2 linked regions of the Ovis aries genome follow. The protein of the gene in region 2 interacts with the protein of the main gene of each other region in a pairwise test. Links are inferred from orthologs where the notes say so. Each region holds a gene or a part of one and is shown on either strand. Other genes may lie near its edges.

Region 1 (3,118 bases), on a different chromosome or scaffold from region 2:
AGCCGAGGTGACATGGGTTTGGAACTACCCGTAAGGTCTTCACTGGCAAACCTGCCTGGCACCAGGGCCTCCCAAAGAGAACAGGACAAGCAGCTGTGCATGCTCAAATAGCAAGACGTGCAAAACAGATCGTCACTCTGCTAGGAATGAAGAGCACACAGGAGGTACACCAACAGCAGCAACCAGGTTCTGACTACTGAGGCCAGTACTTAAGAAATCTCTGCACTGAAGGGGGGTATGCAGAGGAATGGCAACGACACCTGGGGGCGGGGCGGGGCGAGGGAGGAAGAGAGGGAAGCACACACACGCATGCTCACACACGCACACGTGGTGCCTCCGAAGGCGCCCTGGCTACTCTGGGTTCACACGTGGCCGCCCGACATCCTGACTACTTGCCTGGCTCAGAACTTCACCTGCTGCACTCTCTTAACCACACTTTCTCCTCTCCTTTTAAGGCACGAACATATTTAATGGTTTCAGGTATACCTGTTGGGTTCCGAGAACCACACTGAGCAAGTTAGTCACAGCCTAGTGCACAGGAGCCGGCTGGTCCTTCTCGGCTGACAGAGAATGAGGGACGGCGCCCATGTGAAGCAGTCAGGAGGTGTGAGCCTTCTCTCTCTGCTGCCGTGGGATGTGGCCAAAGCCGACCCTCAGCATCAAGGCGGGGCCACAGGAGAGGCCAAGATGGCAAAAGCATGACCAGGGTCTGGGATGTTTAATATTTTTTTACTTTGCTTTTAACAAACCATACAAGGTGGCCGCTCTTGCCTGCCTCGCGGCCTCTCACGAACAAGAGCAAGCAGAGGCCACCACGGAGCATCTGTCACTCCACACAGAGTCACTGTGATAGTTTGCTCATCATGTTTTACCCTCCCACAAAGTCAGACACACACACACACGCACGCACGCGCGCGCACACACACACACACCCCTTCCACCACGGAGGAAATCTTTGCAACAAGAGGCACTTGAAAGATATTTTGAGAGTTCTCATGAAAAGGCCTTCCCCTCACAGTGAAGTGGGATCAACAGAATAGAAACCAGACACTCAAGACTCCATCTCTTCTTGGTCAAGGGGTGGCGGCACAAAGCTGATGACTTCATCATAGGTCAGACCTAGAAATCAGGAAGGAAAAGCAGGATGTGAGAGTTTAGACCTTCACTTTGCTGGGAAGCCACCCTAACTTCTAAGCTCAAGACCCTTTCCTCCCTGTCCAGGCTACTGGTTCAACGGGCCTCATTGCTTGTATGTGAACGTGGGATGACCCAAAAGTTCAAGGATGCATATAAAAGAACAATTTTGGGGTCATCCAGTGCCTCCTCTTTAAAGCTCTCTGGAGAAGATACTTAAGAGTAGCAAACCAATTATTTGGGAAATGTAAAAAGTCGTTCAGTTGTGTCTGACTCTTTGCGACCCCATGGACTATACAGCCCATGAAATTCTCCAGGCCAGAATACTGGAGGGGGTAGCCTTTCCCTTCTCCAGGGGATCTTCCCAACCCAGGGACTGAACCCACGTCTCCCGCATTGCAGGCGGATCCTTTAGCAGCTGAGCCACCAGGGAAGTCCCCCACATGCTACAGCAACAGATAATCCTGGCTTTGGGATTTAACTCAAGTTCTGGATTTGTGTTTTATGACAAGAATATGAGACTGGGTCTAGGAGACCTGGGTTCCATTTCTGGCCGTATCCTTAACTAGGTCTAAGCTAAGAGATAAGATATAAATGCTCTTCATTGTTTGCAAAGTTCTGTTGTTTGCAAAGCTGTAAAAATTCCCTAATCCCTACTTAGCTCAAAGAGATAGTATAAATGCAGAAATTCTGAGAACCTCAAAGCTCTATGCAGACGTGAGGGGCTGTGCACAAAATCAGACCAGACAGAAGCATCTCAAAGGTCCAGAGGGGCGTCATCTACAACAGAGGAACACACTCATTCCACGGAAGAGACCCCCACTGCAAGTTTTAACGCGTTGGATACAACCAGAAAAAACTCCCCCCACCCTCACAGCTTTTGGTTAGTGGCTCACCTAGGAAAGATTTTTAAAGCTAGGTTCTCAAAAAGGTAGACAGATGTTCATCCTGCTATGACTTACTTTTCCATTCGTCTATAAGGAGGTCCCTGCTTTCGAAAGACTGGTCGTAAGGATCAGCCACTGGCTCGTCATCAGGATCGTGGTACTGGGCAAAGTAGGCGTGCGCAAGGGCTTGCGCCGCTGTAATTCTCTTATCTGAGTCCAATACAAGCATCTTCTCCAGCAGGTCAACAGCTGGCAATACCACAGACGGGAAGGAAAAGAGAAGAGGTTTTAACACATTACCAAAAATCTATGCCTTATTAAGCACACACGGAGTTTCGATCCTTCATACCCAAACATTCTCCAAAGTATCTGCTCTGAGATATACTATTTATATTTTACTTTTTTACTTACTTTATATCTTTATCTATATATACATACATTTTTTACTGAATCATTTTAAAATAAAATTACAGACATGCAATTTCACCTATAAATATTTCACCATAAAGATGGCTTCCTATACAATCATAATTACATCTGAAAAATATATAATCCCCAAACATCATCTAAAATCCAGGTCACACTGAGCTTTCTTCAATTATCTTAAAGGTGATTTTTATATCTAGTAACTTCTTCAAGCCAGGATCCAATTAAGGACCATGCATTGCATTTTGTTGAGTTTCCTTAGTCTCTTCTATTTCTAGAATAATCGCCCCTGCCTCTCACCCTCATTTTTCCTAGCTTTGACCTGAAAAGACTCCCCACAAAACTGTCTTGTGCTATCATGTTATCTGTACTCTTGCTTTCCTCTATCCCCTGTATTTCCTGAAAACCCTGGTAAATCTAAAAGTTGGTAAGAATTGGGTTAAACATTTTTGGCAAGAATACTTCATAGGTGATGCTGTGTACTTAATGGTACATTAAGGCCATCTGTCCCATTAATAGTGATGCTGAATTTGATCACTGGGTTAAGCTGTGTCTGTTTCACCTTAAGCAAGCACCCTGGCAGTACTAGGCGAGTATCAGTTTCTTTCACTTATAGCTTTCAGCATCCATTGATCTTCCTTCCCAGCAACTATGTCATTAGCTGGGGGGGT
Region 2 (3,827 bases):
TTGACCACTAAACATGACAATGTCTCTTGCATAACAAGCTTCTCTAATAAGTTCACATTTCTTCTTAATTTCTGCTTTAGAAAGAGGCAGAGCTCGTGAAAATAATCCAGCATAATTTCAAATAATGCAATCACTTAACGAAACGAGACCTGAGTTAGTTAATCTTTGATGCTTCTTCCACATCTATATAAAATTAATGTTGATCTATTACTGTTTTATGCAAATGAATATCACCAAGAAAAAGTGATCCATAAAATAAAACCACCTAAATACAAATATATGTACCTGAATACACAAGTAGCAAATATTAAAAATATTTAGAAAGGAAAACCATTAAATGTAAATTTCTTTTAAAGAGGCTATAATGTATAGTTAGTTTCTATTAAGTTTAAATGTACATAAACAATATGAGGCATTCTCTTTGGTTGTACTGTTACAGAGCACTTTTCTTAAACATTTTATGGCCTAAATTAGATCCAAATAAGCTCAACAGCTCTAATTAGCTTAAATGTTAAATTCAAAGATATCCAACTGGTTAAGAGGATGAAAGTGATTTAAGTAATTTTCTGTAAATTGAACAGCTTCCTAGAAACCACTTTGCTAAAAAAAAAAAACAAAACCAAAAAACAGAAAACTATCAGGAAACATATATACATCAAAATCCATTCTTTAGAAATTCATACAATTTAAAGTGAAACCCACTTATGAATATAATAATTTCTTTCATCAAATCTTATTTGTGAAAGGTATCAGTTAATAGAATATTTTTCATGACCTCAAAAAACAAGCCTGTTTAGAGTACCTTATTTTCAACATGTATATATAGTCATATGCAAAAAATTATGAATTCTTAATCTATAGTCAACATAGAAACAAAAAACTGTATTTTGAAAATAATAAATATATATTTAAAAAGCAAAGCAACTTTTAACCACTGTGATGGAAAGCTGGAAAATATCTTTATTCTTAAAGGACCACATAGCACTTTAGCCTGTGGGCCATAAGGTCTGCATTGCAACTATTCAACTATGCTACTATCTCAAAATCAGCCATTGACAAGACATAAAAAAAGGGGTGTTGCTGGATTCCAGTAAAAGTTCATTTACAAAAACATGCCGTGAGCCGGACCCGGCTGGTAGACAGTGGCTGTCAACAGCAATCTGGAATCTTTCATGTACCTCTCCTACCTTAGTTCTATGTATGCTCACTGTACAGACTGTGGTGATAACTGATGGGGGTATAATGTGAAAATTAGTAAAAGGAAACCTCAACTAAAACTGGAGTGGGGAAGGCCTGCAGAGGGAACTCTCCTGCTCCTCCACTCATCATCCATTACCCCACCAGGAAGAGAATTACCTTGCACTCCTCAATAGGAAATGCAACTATTTTCCTTCCCCAACTGGGGGAAGACTTTCTTCTTGCCCAGCAACAAGCTCTGTGAGTGGGAAAGGACTTCAGCCCAGCCAATGGAAAACACCTGTAGCTCAGCCAACAAAAAGCCAGCATCTCCTCAAGTTTTACTTTCCTCCAGTGAACTCAGGTTTTCCTTGCTGATGACTTTCTTTCCTTGTCCTGCCCTCCTTAACAATATACCTCTTCCATGTTGTGTAACTCCTCAGAGTATCTCTGTCTGATGAGATACTGTTCAATTCATGAGTCTTTTAATAAGGCCAATTCGATCTTCAAATGTACTCAGTTTTTTTAAAAACAATGCATGTCAAAACTTACAAAATGTGTTACATACTTCAAACATACACAAATTATTGTAGGTCAATTATTCCCCAATAAAATGTATGGAAAACATGCCATAAAACTTGTGGTTTCACAATCATGTTTTTCCTAAATATTTTAAAACAGATATTATTAGAATTCCACTAATTTTTTGCCTGAGGTATTTATTTTTAAATTAAAGACACACAACAGAAGCTCACTAGAGCCTTTAAGGCCCTTACAACCCAAGGGTCCAAAAAATATCAAGAAATCAATTTCTATATTTCTACTGCCCATATGTTCATGCTCAATAAAAATAAATTTAACTTGGCCATGAACTAATTTTTGTGACCAAATTCACCTTTTATTATCGTCTATCTAAATTTCCTACATGTCCTGCAATAGTTTTAACTTTCCAGTGCAAATTACCATGAGGAGATAGGTAACTTTTCTCCTGATCTTTGGTCCACAGATAACTTCTCAGGAAGAAAAAGAAGCAAAAGACAATATACATGGTGGTTTTGCTTCTTCTAACTTCCTAATGAGACAGTCTGCTACTCAGTAAACAGTTGAGTTTGCTTACCTCTCCTACCCAAGTAGGCTATCTGCCTGGTACCAGATTAGCCAGAGCTCTGGTTCAGCTACAGAACCAGGTAGTCTGGTTAGAAAGTAGTATATTTGTTCACTAACAAAAATACAAACCGCTACCTGCTTCAAATCTAATTCCTTCAAACTTCCCTTCTTCCACTTCATTTCAAAAGCCATAATAATATAAAAAAATTATACTTACCTTAACCTCAGGCTCTTTTTCACATTCTTCAATATATAAGTCATAAAGTTTTTGAAATATAGATTTTCTAAAATAAAATAAAGACAAAACACACAGAGTACTGTGAATACAATACTCATAAAATAAAGATTTTGAATTTTCCTGTCATTTCCCCCACAATTTCCCAAAAACTGGGTGGTGAAGAGAGGCTGGACGTGGCAGCTAACATCAATTTAGAAATTACTAATACCGTTGACCTCTGCACAACATGGAGGTTAATCCTCATGTAACTTATAGCTGGCCCTCTGTATCTGTGGTTCCTCTGCATCCACAGATTCAACCATTAAGTACAGAAGTGTTTACTGTAAACATCTGCAAATAAATGGACCTGCACAGTTCAAACCCACACTGTTTACAGGTCAACTGTATATGCAAAGTACCCAAGATACAACATTTCTAGCTCAGTGTCCAGTAAGAAACAAATGGAGGCTATCATCACATTTCAGCATATCTATGATACCATCAATTAAGTATTCATACCTTCCACTAGATAGGTATTTCCTTTTAGGAGGTCTCTGCCGGGCACTTTCAATGACATACTAAAAAAGAAAAGTTTAAGAAAACAGCTGGCCTTTTGCTTAGTGCATGAACAACTGCATTAAGTATATTTAAATCATGTGTAAGGCTAAAGACTATTCAGTCATTCGAGTCTTGCATGCATATTAAATCATACCTTTTAGGGAAACCTACTAAACTTCTAAATATATGTAATAAACAAGTGAAATTTAAACTGCAGTAAAATTTAGCTCAATATTTACTTGCATTTATAAGCAAAATCATACCATTTCACCACTGTGATTTCACAGTCAATAATATTTTCAATGTTTATAGTTGTTCAGAATATATATAGCATACCCAATTACAAAGACTCTATATATTTGAGTTACTTCCCCTTTAATTAAGCAAATAGAAAATTTGTTAAAACAGAAAACAGTTTCAGAAACTCTATGTCCTTGTTCAAATATTTAACTCACAATACTGTTCAGTTTTTATTTCACAGCATTACTATCTGAGCAGTCCAAGTAACAGATGATTCAAACATCATCTGGTATTCTTATATATATATTTACAGACAGTATACTCATCCTAATATTAATGTATGCCCTGGACAGTCACATACAAAAATCTCTTAAAACTGAGTTTTGTCAATTAAAGACAACACTATTTCAATATGTAACTTAGTCATGCCTCACCTCTGCACGATCCAAAGCTAGTTCTAAAGTTTGTTGCTGTAAAAAGTAAATGGTGTATTTTATATTAGTTATTTTCACACAAAAATAACTTAATA

The links.
Region 1: the proteins of SUPT20H (region 2) and MAPK14 interact in binary tests that used the Homo sapiens proteins (3 or more experiments, as listed by UniProt). The link is inferred for Ovis aries from reciprocal best matches to the Homo sapiens genes SUPT20H and MAPK14.

What each region holds. Positions count from the first base shown.
Region 1 is NC_056073.1:10,163,557-10,166,674, reverse strand, and holds the end of MAPK14 (mitogen-activated protein kinase 14), read right to left. Parts: intron 2,271-3,118; coding exon 2,097-2,270; intron 1,915-2,096; exon of another isoform or gene 1,833-1,914; intron 1,120-1,832; coding exon 1,052-1,119; 3' UTR 780-1,051; downstream 1-779. UniProt on the Homo sapiens protein: Serine/threonine kinase which acts as an essential component of the MAP kinase signal transduction pathway.
Region 2 is NC_056063.1:24,945,137-24,948,963, reverse strand, and holds part of SUPT20H (transcription factor SPT20 homolog), read right to left. Parts: intron 3,769-3,827; coding exon 3,733-3,768; intron 3,079-3,732; coding exon 3,020-3,078; intron 2,568-3,019; coding exon 2,501-2,567; intron 75-2,500; coding exon 1-74. UniProt on the Homo sapiens protein: Required for MAP kinase p38 (MAPK11, MAPK12, MAPK13 and/or MAPK14) activation during gastrulation.